Lytechinus pictus: one gene and its partner. The protein of the gene in region 1 purifies or fractionates together with the protein of each later gene. This does not show direct contact. Links are inferred from orthologs where the notes say so. Each region holds a gene or a part of one and is shown in the gene's direction. Other genes may lie near its edges.

The links.
Region 2: the proteins of DNA polymerase epsilon subunit 3-like (region 1) and cysteine-rich protein 2-binding protein-like purify together in Drosophila melanogaster (affinity purification with mass spectrometry; 4 studies listed by BioGRID). This does not show direct contact. The link is inferred for Lytechinus pictus from reciprocal best matches to the Drosophila melanogaster genes Chrac-14 and Atac2.

The regions. Positions count from the first base shown.
Region 1 is NC_087259.1:11,821,713-11,828,746, forward strand, and holds the start of DNA polymerase epsilon subunit 3-like, read left to right. Parts: upstream 1-3,992; 5' UTR 3,993-4,069; intron 4,070-7,034. UniProt on the Drosophila melanogaster protein: Accessory component of the DNA polymerase epsilon complex. Participates in DNA repair and in chromosomal DNA replication. Histone-like protein which promotes nucleosome sliding of ATP-dependent nucleosome remodeling complexes.
Region 2 is NC_087247.1:43,280,733-43,288,794, forward strand, and holds the start of cysteine-rich protein 2-binding protein-like, read left to right. Parts: upstream 1-5,040; 5' UTR 5,041-5,400; coding exon 5,401-5,433; intron 5,434-7,259; coding exon 7,260-7,551; intron 7,552-7,741; coding exon 7,742-7,856; intron 7,857-8,062.

The DNA.
Region 1 (7,034 bases):
TTGCATCTTGGATCAGGTGACCAAAGAGAGCACTACAACATCGGGAGTACAGCACTGAATGCAGTTAGAGAAGAAAAGGATTTAGGGATCATCATTGACGACGATCTAAAATTCCACAAGCAAGTGTCAAATGCTGTCAATAAGGCAAACGGGGTACTAATCAGCATCAGACGTACTTTCCAGTGTCTTGATTCGACCACTATCCCCAAACTATTTAAAGGGTTAGTGCGGCCACTCCTGGAATATGGAAATGTCATCTGGTCACCACAGTACATTGCTGATGCTAAGGCTGTCGAGAGAGTTCAGAAGAGAGCAACCAAAGTAATCTCCAGGATCAAACATCTTCCATACAAGGAAAGGCTTAAACACCTGAACTTACCATCCTTGGAGTACAGAAGAAAGAGAGGTGACATGATTCAAGTGTATAAGATCACTCATGAAGTCGACAGGCTTAACCCAGACCACTTTTTTCAGCTAGCTGACAGTACTACAAGAGGTCATAGGTTCAAACTTGTAAAGCCAAGATGCAGAACAAATGTGAGAAAGCAAGCTTTTAGTCACCGAGTAGTCAATGATTGGAACTCTCTCCCAGCTGAGGTAGTTGAAGCTCCCACAGTAGACACCTTCAAAATCAGGCTAGACCGACACTGGAAAGATAAGCATTATGATTCCCACTACTCTTAACTGGATATGAGAAGTCAATTTTCACCAACTTGCCCCACTGCCTCCTTAAACTTATTGAAACTTATTGAAGCATGAAGGAAGCTGACAAAATTAGAAGATAGACCTGGAAGCTCGACTGCTAATTCAGCATTCTTCCAGTATTTGCGGTAAGGTAAGGTAAGGTAAGTCACTGGTTTTTTTTTCCTTTTAAGTTTATTTTTCCCTGTTTTGGTGCATTTCAGGCCAAAACGGAATAATAATCTTTATTTTGGTCCAGTTCTTTTTATATATTTTCATGAAATAAAGACAGAAATCGATGAGCCCCATCGGGGGGACTTTGCACTGTTAGCTCCCTAATGGCAGCTGCACGATCGCGAGCCATCACAGTGTACATACAAAGAGAAATAAAAAATTTAAAAAAATGTTTAGGCCTAGGCGGTAGGCCTACTTTAAATTAAAAAAAACTCGAAACAGACGGCTGCCAGCTATCTTGTCTAGGCAGAAGGCACGGCACAGAATGCCAGAAATATTCCCTGCATTATTTTCAGCCATCATTACATCACGTTAGTCACACTCAAACACTGACAAATGAAACAAATCAAGACAAGACACACTTGTGACAGGCAGTGGAACTGCAGTGCAGTGGAAGTGCTAGTGCCAGTGGTTGCACTTGCAATGAACTAACCCAGAGAGCTCCCGCCCGCGCAGCGGGCGGGAGCCCAGAAGCTTACCGTGTATTTTACCATTGTCACCGGACTAGGGTTATTTATGGTCTAAATATTTCTCCAAATGAATTGTGAAAACGGAAAGTATATATGGATGAAGGTCTAACGAGTGGCAGATTCCTGACATCTGGGCACAGTCTGGAACCTCAAAAAAACGAAAAGTTCTCTCCTTCTACCCAGTCTCGATCGGCCATTTTGTTACAATTTTTAACAAAAATGGCCGATCGAGACGGGGTAGAAGGAGAGAACTTTTCGTTTTTTTGAGGTTCCAGACTGTGCCCAGATGTCAGGAATCTGCCACTCGTTAGACCTTCATCCATATAATCGTGGTAATTCTATACTTTCTGTTTTCACAATTCATTTGGAGAAATATTTAGACCATAAATCACCCTAGTCCGGTGACAATGGTAAAATACACGGTAAGCTTCTGGGCTCCCGCCCGCGCAGCGGGCGGGAGCTCTCTGGGTTAGCAATGAACATGCAGTGCCAGAGTCGCCGATCGACCAGGGCCCGGGTCGCCGGCCGTGCGTACGGTTGCCTGGCTTCGCTTCAGCTAAATAGTAAATGATCGGGGATCAGTCGACTCGAGTCGATCGACTCCGAGTACGATAGCTAATCAGTACAGACTGTGAATGAAATCAAATGACTAATTTTCTATGTCATGAATTTAATGAAATGTGGTAAATACCCACCTTTCACTCAAATGAGAAACATTCTGCAGAATTAAATGCTTGTTTTCATAAAATAAAGTTTCCAACTCGATCTACGTCTGTCGTCTTCGGCCTCCGACTAACTGGTATTGGTAACGTAGATGGCGTATTCCTCTGTACAAGATGTGGCGCAGATATTGTTTAGAACTTAACTATGCAATGAATTGATTGATTGATTGGTTTATTTTATTTGGCAAGTCACCAGAACATAAAACAACAGGCTTGCACAGGATGACCCACGAAAGCTCGAAAGCTTAATTATTTCCAAAAGAAAAATCTAAAAGAGGACTAGTATGGCTAACATGACTCCGATGCATATTAAACAATAAAAATCAAAAAGGAGCAAAAAATGGAATACAAAACTTTTGACTTCAAAATGTATTTGTAGATCGTACGTGGCTGCATGTATGCATGCAGGCGCGGATCCATTATATCCCCCAAAAAACAAAAAATAATAATGATAATACAATGAAATAATATAATTATATGGGCAAGAGAAAGGGAAAGAGGTTAAAAAGAGAAGGAAAATGAAAAAGAATGAATAAAGAAAAAGTGTGAGATTAAAGAAGGTATTAAGGGAAAATGCTAATAAAGAAAAGGACAACAGTTTCATTAAAGAAAGAAAAATAATTAATCGAAAGCGAAATGGAAAAGGGAAGAAAAGAAAAAGAAGGGAGATGGAGGATGGAAAAAAAAAAATGAAAGGAATGAATTTCAAGAGAGGGTGGAGAAAAGACAAGAAGCCTATAGGAAAAGGAAGAGGGTGAAGAAAAGGGGAAAGGCGGTCAAAGGAGAAGCAAATTAAAAGAATGGAAACGGTATTTACATGGTTGAAAGGGGAAAAAAGGTAAAAAGGGGAATAAAATTTGAGAGAGCCCCTACCCCCTTGATGATTTCCATCAAATATATGGAAGATAAAAAGAAGGGAAAAAAGAAAATGAAGTAAAATTAAGCTCCACCGAGGGGTGCGAAAATTGCCCTATATGGCTCCCGAGATGCCCCTGCATGCCTGCCATCTTCTCACGGACAATGACAAAAGGAACAAGGAAAATAAGTGCATGGAAGGGAAATTAAAGGAAACTTTAAAAAAAAATGTTAAAGGTCAAGTCCACCCCAGAAAAATGTTGATGTGAATAAATAGAGAAAAACCAAACTAGCATAACGCTGAAAATTTCATCAAAATCGGATGAAAAATAAAAAATTATTTATGACATTTTTAAAGTTTTGCTTATTTTTCACAAAACAGTGATATATGCACAACTAGGTGAGTCAGTCGTTGATGTCCATCACTCACTTTTGTTTTTTATTGTTTGAATTAGGCCTATACAATATTTCATTATTTATCTATATGACAATAAGGACCAAAGGGGGACCAATTTGACTGAACCATGTCATTAAACAATGCTAATTCTACATGTTCAGGGAGGAATCAATCGTTGTATCACTTGACAATGAGGAGAAAATTAGAATATATATAATAAAATACAAAAGAAATAGTGAGTGGATGACGTCATAGTCTCCTCATTTGCATACCAGCCAGGATGTGCATATAACTATTTCGTGAAATTAAGCGAAACTTTAAAATGTCATAACTTTCTTATTTTACACCCGATTTTGATGAAATTTTCAGTGTTATGCTTGTTGGATTTTTCTCTTTTATTCAAATCAACTTTTTTGTTAGGGTGGACTTGTCCTTTTTTAATTGTGCCAAGTGTGGATATTAATTAGACCAACTGGTTATGAGACGAAATGGTTATTAGACGAAGTGATGATTGGACCAAATGGTTATTAATGGACCAAATAGTTTTTAGACGAAATGTTGATTGACGGAATGACATTTGGTGAGTGGACGAGTTGGCAGCGAGTATGCGAATTGGCAATTTACCATGCATTGAGATCACGCACGCACCATCATGACGTCATCTTCGCGGGAATCTCTGAAAATAGGTCACTGGCAAATTTTTAAGATCGGTAAGAAAGACCTGTGAACTTGAAGATTTGTGATTTTATACATTGATTTCGATTCTTTGATAGTTGATCCATTGAGAAATGATTCATTCTATATATGTGTGAATGATAAACTCTTTGATTTGAGCTTAAACTAAATTTTTATTGCTTACTAGTGCGTTGTTTGGAAGATGAAAAGAATTTACTGACAGTGATTGCTGTGAATGGGACTGTAGTGTAGATGTTCGAGTAGCTTATTACAAAAATACACACTCGTCTAACGTTAGCTCTGTACTGTAGACTGTAACAAGTGTAACCGTAAGTTGTATGATGGGGGGACCTAAACTAAAGCTACGGCTACGCGCGCACTTTGTTTTCAAACGATAAAAACTATGCCAATTTTAATATTTTAACCATTTGTCTTTCACTAATTTGTAATTAATATTCTCTTAACCAAGAAGAAAATATCACAGAACTCACTAAATTAGTATTTAGACTTTAGTAATGAGCATGATCGGTTAAGCCTTAGTTAAAGGAGAATGAAACTCTTGGAGCAAGTTAGCTTTTGTGAAAGCAGAAAAATCAAAGAATAAGATCAACAAAACTTTGAGTAAAATAGGACTAGCAATAAAAGAGTTATGAGCATTTGAATGTCGAGATCACTAATGCTATGGAGATCCTCTCATTGGCAATGCGACCAAGATCTGTGATGTCACACACGTAGAACTCTCCCATTTGGACACTGAAAATATACCCCAAAACATCTCTTTTTGCTCATTCTAATCATATGACAAACGATTCATCAATGATATAATGTTGTGAAACCTCTGTACTTGTCATCTCATAAAGAGAACACCTCACCTTGTGATAGACTCTATAAAAGTGAGAATATAAGTGAAATAAGTACTAAAGTATTGAGGGAGTTGTACGTGTGTGATATCACAGATCTTGGTCGCATTGCCGATGGGAGGATCTACATGGCACTAGTGATCTCAATATTCAAATGCTCATAACTTTCTTATTATTCATTCAATCTTCCTCAAACTTTCAACAATATGTTTCTTTGATTTTTCTCTTTGATATGGATTCAGATGGTTTCAAGGGTTTCATTCTCCTTTAAGGGTTTTTTTTTTTTTTCTATCAAAATTGCTTTTAAGATATTCTTTGATATCTCAGGTTTCAAAGAACTCGGTTTCATGAAGATTGATGAATCCGAAAGTACTGGAATAGTCCATTTTATTCGTGGGGGTGCTATTACCTCTCATCACGGACGGACATTTTTACTCAAATCAAATTCTCTCTAGTTTTATGGTTTTTAAAGTTATTCTAATTTGGTTTGGATGTTCTTGCACTCTAAACATTAATCTATAGTATTATCAAACAAAAATTAGTAGAAAAAAAATATTGGGAAGTAATTTTTTTTGGTAGGTGTGAACATTTCCATTATTGGTCAAAGTTAAGCTATTTAGATAGAAACAATAAAAATGTTCAAAAATTCTGAAAACCACATTTCTATCATGTCCGTCCGTGATATGGCACATTTAGTGGCTACCTATGTTTGTAGGTAACCATGGCAACAAACTTTTTTCATCATTCAGCATACTTTGTCCTAAGTAACCCTTCACTATAAAACAAAAAGGAACCATGTTCATCTTATTCCCAATTTGTTACAAGCCTTCAAAGTTTTCAAAATCTATCAAATGTCCGTCCGTGATGAACCGATCACGCTCTAATACGAAAAACCCGCCGTGTTTTCCGAACACCTCTTGTCTTGATTTCGTCGCCGATGTAGAAGGGGTCCTAAAGTAAGCTACGCACTCGATTTATCATGCAAAGAAATAGTATTTCCTGTGCCTTAATTTCTAAAATATGTTCGTATTATTATAGGGAAATATGAAATTAAAGTGAACATAAATAAAAAATTCCAAACATTTGCTGGTTTTCTCTGCATTCAAGAATTTATTGCAGCCTCTGTAAAAAAATTGAATAGGATCGTTCGTCACTCTGCAGTCACAGCTTCACACACAGAGCTCGAGTGCGCATTTATTTTCCCATTGAAATTGCATGCGCGATGGAGTGGTGCGTAGCTTTAGGACCCGCGCAGCTTTAGGAACCCCTACCATAACTCGGTACGTGCACTAGCTAACCCAGGGCCAGGACTCGTCCGTGTAATAGTAATACTAGTCAAACATTAGACGGCTGGCAGCCGTCTGTTTCGAGGAGTTTTTTAACATTATTATTATTTTTTGAATTTCTCGTACACAGACGGCTCGCTATCGTGCATGTGCAGCCAATAGGGGGTTAACAATGCAAAATTCCCATGTCGGGGCACATATTTGTCTTATTTCATAAAGATATATATAAAAAGAAAAACTAGATTTTAATTCGTCATGCGGACGAATTAGGTGGTCTGTCGTATAGAAAGATAAACAGGAAAAAAAATATTTAAACAGATATTAGATTGAAAAATAGATAGACAAACAGATTTACATATTCAAACAGATACATATAAGAAAGATAATAATATATATAGATGGATGGAGTGATGGATGGAGAGATAAATGATAGGTGGTTATATTAATAAAACATAGACATATAGATAGATAGAGAGACAGACATATAGATAGACAGACATATAGATAGAGAGACAGACATATAGATAGATAGAGAGACAGGCATATAGATAGATAGATAGAGAGACGATAGGTGGTTATACTAATAAAACATAGATAGACATATAGATAGAAAGAGAGACAGACAGACAGATAGATAGATAGATAGAGACAGACATATATATAGATAGAGAGACAGACATATAGAGAGATATAGAGACAGACATAGATAGATAGAGAGACGGACATATATATAGATAGAGAGACAGACATATAGATAGACAGAGAGACAGAAATATAGATAGATAGAGAGACAGACAGATAGATAGATAGACATATAGATAGATACAGAGACAGACATATAGATTGATAGAGAG
Region 2 (8,062 bases), on another chromosome or scaffold:
TTCTTTCCGCTCGGTCGTGATATTAAGTTTTTATTTCTTGCCCCTTTTCTTTGTTTTCCAATTTAGCTTTTGACTAATTCCATTCTACCTTCATTTCCCGCTATTGTTTGCCATTTTGTCATCTTTTAATTTATTTCCCATCATGCTATTGCACTACATAGTCCTATTTCGGAATGATTTGTTCTTTCTCAAATGTTCTTCTTTCGTTCTTCTTCCCGCTTTCTTTCCTTTTCCATTTCAAAAGATATATATTTTCTTTGTTTTAAATTATTTTCACTTTTCCCATTCCTTTTCCTCCTTTCCTTTCCCTCTTTCCTTCCCCTTTCTCTTTCTTTCTACCTCCCTTTTATGTTTTCCCCGTTTTTTTTTATTTTCCCGGTGAAATCCGCCAGGGGGGCAGCTTGCCCCCCCCCCCCCGCCTGTTACGCCACTGTTTAAAGAATGTGTTTAGAATCAATTTTTATTAACGTTTTGGGAAAACAACCCCCCCTTTTCAAGATTATTTAGCTTAAATATTTTGAAAATATATTTTCATAACTTCTACAACCTTTAATGCTATCATCATTACGTTTTACCAATGTTTTAACTTGGTATTTTTCATCTCCAGTGTATTTATCGTAATTTTAGTAAAACATTTTGTTTCTGAAAATATGTGGGGGTATGATATGTCATAAAAACGTCAAAATAAGGACGTTTGTTGTACATTTCATTAACACTTTGTGAAAACATTTCAAAAATGTTTAGCTATTTTTTCAATAACATATTTTCATAATTTTTCGATGTTATTGTGACACCCAATGCATAGCGTTTTAAAGATATTAGAAAATAGTTGTTTCTAGAAAAATGTTTAAATGATATTTTAAAACATTATGTATAACATTATAAGAATGATGTTAGTAAAATGTATTTTTTCTGAAATAATGTTATATCATAAAAGCGTATATATTAAAGAATATTTATCCTTCTTTTTTAGTGTTTCATAACATTTCAAGAACGTTTTATGTTATTGCTGTAATATTATAACAACCTTTAAAAATATTTTTAGAGCCCATGTTTAACTTTATAAACATGATAGTAAAGTTTAAAAACAGTTGTATTCTAAAGACTCTAAAATAAGGATACATTTTGAAATATTTTTGGCATTTTTTTCAAAAATGTTTTGCTGAACTGTTATAAAAACATATTTTCATTACGTTTCTATTCAGGTTGATGTTATTGTCAGAATATTCTCACAATACTTAATTTTCATTTTTCTTCAAAATGGTTATAGTAAAATGTATTGTTAAGTTTTTGGAAAAAAATGTAAAAATCATAACATAATAACATTAAAAAATATTAAGAAAACATTTTTCAAAAACGTTTAGTTAAAATATAGAATTAACATAGTTTTCATAACCTTACAAGAACGTTTATGTTATTGCTAAAATGGTTATAACGTTTAATGAAATAATGTTTAACATAAGGGGAATAATTAATAACGTTTAATGAAATAATGTTTAACATAAGGGGAATAATTTGTTTCATTAATGCTATGCAAATGTTCTCAAGAAATGTTTTTTGAAAGCATTTCTAAGATCTTTCAAAAATGTTATTATAACGTTGTGTTAGCTGGGATTATAGAGATATACAGTGCGTATCAAAAAAAAGTTTACACTTTGAAAAAGCCCTGGGAATTAAAAAATATACAACATGTGGGTAATTTTTTCACATATAATCTTTGGTTTGGGTCTCTTCTATCCAATGAAAGTAAAAGTTTTGACAGAATGTTACACTTGAGTGAGCACTGTCCATTTTTGTAAAGCTCGCAGAAATCTGTTTGCGCAGAAATGCTCGTTTGTACGCTGTGTCGAGGGGAAAGGGCGAAATCAAACTTACCCTGCGAAACATTTCTCATACATTTCCCTTGCACTTTTAGTAAATTGAAATAAAACGGATACATTTCAGCATTTTCTAATAATTTTGCCACCCAAATTGAAATTTCAACACAACCTTTACCTTTTTTGTGCCAGCTGCATGGATCTGAGGACCAGTGGCGTAGCTACGGGGGGGCCTGGGGGGGCACGTGCCCCCCCCCCTGAGATTTGGTGTGCCCCCCCAAGTGCCCCCCCCCTGAAAAAAATTGGCAGAGCAAAAAAAAAAGGAGAAAGAAGAAAAAACAGGAAAAGAAGAAGAAAGACAGAAGAAAAAAAAGAAGAGGAAAATAAGAGGAGGAAGACGAGTGAATGAAATAATGTGAAGGGAAGACTTGCAAAAAAAAAACAAATCTTTCATGTTACTATATAAAACTTTTGCTTGCGCTTTTTTGCGCCAGAATTGCCTGTTCGATGAAATTCATATCTTGCTCAATAGGCTGATATGGAGCAAGTTTTGAAGTCAAAATACAAAATATATTTTAGCTCGGACATCGAGCTCTCATCAATTTTTTTTCATTAACAAATTTAAGTGTTCTAGCTGTAAAACGTCCCTTTTATAGTCTACATATCAGCATTTTTAAGCTCACGCTGCGTGGTCAAATTGTTTGATTTGCCAAGTTCCTATTGTCTACGTGTATTTCATAATGTTCCATTAAACAAATGTATTCAGACTGCCCAGATTCTAGGTCTAAATCGAAAACATGCGCGATAGCCTGCATGTTCTTTATATTAAATGTACTTAAATTATCCAGTTTCACATCAGAATATCAATAATTGTCTGCTCACGCTTCACGGTCGCATTATTAATGATACCCAATTAACTATATCCTATTTATGATTTACAAAATATGAATAGCCGCTTTTAGGTCTAAAATCTCAATTTTCTTCCTCTCGCGCTTCGCGCTCGCATCAATTGTTTAGTTACATACCTATCCCATTTATTAATACAAAAAGTGCTTAGAATGACAATTTTTTAGGTCGGAATGTCAAAAAATATTTGCTCGCGCTTCGCGCTCGCATTATTGAAATATATACCGTCTTCGTGGGTAACTGTAAGCAGTCCTTAACAGGTCCCTTTTCGATAATGCTAGAACAGTTAATAAAAAGTTCTGCTCGCGCTTGGCCTTCGCAGTAACCATCTAGTTACATACGAATCTTGTTCAGGATCACACATAACATTGCACAGAATATTACATTTTCAGGACAAAATACATGAAAGTAAAAAAAAAAAAATCGCTCGCGCTTCGCGCTCGCACTTTTTATAAGGCTTATGAGATTATTTCATGTTTATGTTGTTCTATAAGAATAAATCTAAGAAGTGACTGATCGGGGGAAATATAGGTGAAGATAATTTCGGGCCCCGTCCCCTATTGGCGAAAGTCGGATCCGCCCTTGTGACACATACACACACAACGGAAAAAATGGTGCCCCCCCTGAAAAAGCAAGGACCCCCCAGTGCCCCCCCCAGGAAAAAAATCCTAGCTACGCCACTGCTGAGGACATAACTGAATCTGAACAAAAGTTTATATCAGACAGTTTTTATCATTTAAAGTGGGTTTACATTTCATTTTTCATTTAATACTTGTTTGTCCACACTTTTCCCAAGCTTGACAATGATTAACAAAATGAAAATCAAGCCTAAGCCATTTTATGTAAATCACAGCTCAGTGTAAAGCAAATTCGTCACGATGGCCTCGGTGTGTGGGGGAGTGGGGTGGGGTGCAATGCACTCCTCGAAGTGGTTTGGGCAAGGAAACAAGTTAAAAAAGGTAAAAGATATCTTCAAATCAATTTTACTAGCTAAATTCCACGTGTTCTTCATGATTAAGGTCAACTTTTATTCGCATATATACCTATTTCAAAGTTCTGCGCAAATCATTTTTCACTAACTTTTCAAAAGTAAGTGGTGCTCACTCAAGCGGAAATATTTTTCGACAGTTATATCATCATTTGCTTAAATGGGGTTAAATGGATCTGTACCAATGTTAAAATGTGGAAAAATCTTCAGGATATTACAAATGTGTAATTTTACAGGATTTTTTCGAAGTGTAAACTTTTTTTGATACGCACTGTATAACAACGCAAAATAGCTATCCGCTACTATCAGAAATGCAGCAATATTGCGTGTCATCAATTTGAGTTGAGAGAGAGCCTATTATACTTCGGCCCAGTGGCGTACCTAGGATTTTTCACAGGGGGGGGGGCAAAACCGTCCACCAAAAAATTTGACAAGCAAAAAAAAAAAAAAAAAAAAAAAAAAAAAAAAAGGTCTTTTCGATCACAAATTAAGGATTTCGTACCAGAAAAAAATTGACAAGCAAAAAAAAAAAAAAAAAAAAAAAAGGTCTTCAAGCTCGTCAGGGGGGCATTGAAGGTCTTAAAGCTCGCCGGGGGGGGGGGGCAAAAAAGGTTTTTCAAGCCCGTCAGGGGGGGCAAAGATACGTTTTTGCATGGGTTGTGACTCGTCAGGGGGGGCAGAGTGCCCCCCCTGCCCCCCCCCCCGTAGGTACGCTAGTGCTTCGGCCTATCTAAGTTCATGCCCGACGCATAAGCCCTTTTATATACTTGCTGGCAATAAATACACACTATACTCTAATAGTAGAGGCAGGGAAATCGGGGGGGGGGGGGGAGACTACCGGGTTAGCGCAAGGGCATCGGACGCGATTTCCCCGGCCCGGCCCGCTAAAAGGGAAGAAAATTTACATATGAAAGAGAGAGACGACGTCTCGTTTTGGTTTTGATTCTTCTCAGAAAAATATAAACCGGAAACCCACAAAGCTACCCTTTTCCCCTTTTCTTCTCTTTTCCTTTTTTTTATTTTATTTAAGCCCTTTTATATACTTGCTGGCAATAAATACACACTATACTCTAATAGTAGAGGCAGGGAAATCGGGGGGGGGGGGGGGGAGACTACCGGGTTAGCGCAAGGGCATCGGACGCGATTTCCCCGGCCCGGCCCGCTAAAAGGGAAGAAAATTTACATATGAAAGAGAGAGACGACGTCTCGTTTTGGTTTTGATTCTTCTCAGAAAAATATAAACCGGAAACCCACAAAGCTACCCTTTTCCCCTTTTCTTCTCTTTTCCTTTTTTTTATTTTGGGGCGCCTCCCCCCCCCCCCCTCCCCCCATACACCCCTGCATGCAGATATGCATTCAAGAGTCTTTTGTTAAAATTTAGGTCTTGCTGTCTGACATGTCCAACACGGGGTCCAACCACTAACAATAATAATATTGATGAAAATCTATACTAGCCAACATTTTTCTAAATCTTACTTGTATTAAACTTCCAATTTTATTTGGGATTTTTTTTTCTTATATAGGAATTACTAATTAGGATCTAACTTTACAGCTGGCCGAACGGCGGCAGCGCATACCGCGGCGGCGCGGGCGGGCAGCGCAGCGGTCCAATCTGCCACCAGTACAGTACAGTAGTTACCACTGATCTGACAGCTGACCGATCGACCTGAAATAAAATTTGAACAAGCGATGTCAGGTGTAACTTCAAGTGAAGCTGATCAGGTAGTAATGATATTCATGAAGTTGTTAGGAGTGGGGGCTACGGGTCAGGAAATCAAAATTTAAATGAATGTAGACTAGTCTGATCGTATTTTATCATGCTTATAATTTTCAACACCAAGCAACAGCCAACAGGAACATGAATTGCAATATGTGGGACTGGACTTGGCATTGACTCTTAGTCTTAAGTTGAGCCTGAGGACTCCATGATGATATTTTTTAATATTTTGACATAGATCTAAACTTCTTCATCATTCATGGAGCCCTGAACCGTCTCCCATATATGCATATATGCATAAGTGAGACCTGGATAGATTTCCCTACTGCCCTATATTTTAGCCTATAAATAATGCTATATTTTAATATAATACACTATACAGGGTGAAATCGGTTTATAATTAATAAGTGAATTTTATTGAAACCTTCAAACGCCTAAAATTTAGATTTTTTATGAAGGTATAAAAATTATTTCACTATGAATGGCAAAAATGAGAGGTTTCTTACCAGAATGATCTCGTGTAGATCCCTCAATCCATTTGCCAACAAAGCAAATACAATAGGTCTGACCCTTGAACCGCTTCGTTATGCCATACCTTCGATTAGCGATGTTCCAAAATGCTGTTTTGAAGAACAATTTATAGATAAAAATTATTATTTAACAAATACTAAAATTTATTACGTGATTATGAATTTTTTTTCTTTAATTCCCTTCTTTTTCTATCTTGGTTGTAGAACATTCGGGGGCCACTGGGCCTAACCCTTCCATCCTGTACCCCAGTGCTAAACTGCTATATCAGCAGGTGGGTCTCGATACCTCTGGATATTTAGCCATTTTAAACCTCATAGATGGCTGCTATTGTTAATCAAATTGTGAGTGTAGACCTAATTATAGAAGAACATTTCGTTAAGGTTTTTATTCTTTTGACAAAAAAAACCAAGAAGGAAAAACAAATCAGTTCTACACCCTCCCTTTTTTCATTTTCCTTTTTCTCTTTTCGCCCCCCTACTTTTTTTTTTGGGGGGGGGGGCACCACCCCCTGGCTAGTACGCGCCTGCCAGATGAAGAGGCGAGCGAGCAAAAATTTTGTCATTACAAATATAAATTTTTTGATAGATTTTGACATAACATTCGGGATGATTGTCGCAATGGTCATTTTGTCTCGCTTAAAATTTGACAAGTAAAAAAAAAGATTGTCACTCAAAATGAAAGCCATTTTGTCTGCGTAATATTTGGCAACCCCCCCCCCCAAAGGTTATTAAAAAAAAGGAAGGTCATTTTGTCCTGCGTGAAATTTTATTTGGCCAGCCCCCCCCCCCAACGGTTTTAACTAAAAATGATCGAAGGGCATTTTGTTTCTAGTAAAATTCGTCATATAAAAGTTAACTATATTCTTCATCATCAATCTCTTCTTCAAAATCATAAATTTTGAAATTTAAATCTAGATGAACTTCTGGGTTTCTTCCATTTCGTGATCGATGTTTTCAGTAACTTTGTGGAGAAAACATACCCTCCCTACAGGTTTTGGATGCAAGTGGAGCTTGATGTGGGATAACCAATCGTGTTTCGCACCAGCATACACGTCATTAAAAATCACCAATTTTGAGGCCGTTATTTACGTGTTCGAAGCACTCAGAGAGGGAACTTTAAAACTATCAATTAACTGAATTTCATCTGTCTCCATGATAAATGAGGGACACCACTATGTTCTTTGATTTTCTGCTTTGATTTGATATATAATTCTCCATTTTGGGGATTGGCAATATATTTCTACTTTATAAAGATTTCAAAATTGAAGTGAATAAACATATTTTCTATCATCCTTGTGCAGGGGGAAAATGATGAAATTGATGTGGTTTCCATGGATACGAAATCCCCAGGAGTTAATAGGGAGGAAGCTAAGTCACAGGATGAAGACATTATCATGGAGACAGTGGATGACCATGATGCAGAAGATGAAGAAGAAGAGTCCTCTAATGTGACCATCATCCACGAGGAGGAAGAAATGAGGGAAAATGTAGATGTAACAGAGGACGAGTCCTTGGGGGATCAGTGTTACTGTGAAGGCAAAGGGGATGGTCCGATGATCTCCTGTGAAAAATGCAAGAAGTCTTTTCATTTAGGTAGGTCAATGAGGAAGTTTTAAATTCTAATTGTTTGATTATTTGTATTTTCATGACACAGACATACTGAACAACATCTTCAATTTTATTTTATTATGGAAAGGAACACAATTTTGTGTCTGGCCTTTTGAAGAGCATAATACATAATACTGAGATTTATTTCTGTCATGTGTGTTATTGTTTTTCATAGCTTGCTTCAAAACTGGCAATCCTACAACTCTAGAAGGGGACATTTTCTTCAAACTGAATTGCAGTACATGTAAGGCGCCTGAAGATGAGACAGTGGAAAGAATGAGATTGACTTGGTAATTTTAATAAGAGTGCTAACAGGATAATAATATGATTTTCTAGTTTTATTGATGATATTTCATTTTCTTGAATTCCATATCTGATGCTAACATGAATACTGTACTTGCAATCTGAGATATAGGCCTAATGCGTGTACTTGTTATCAAGTGGAAATGAGACTAGATAAAGATCAAATCTAAAACAATCAACATGAAATTGAAAC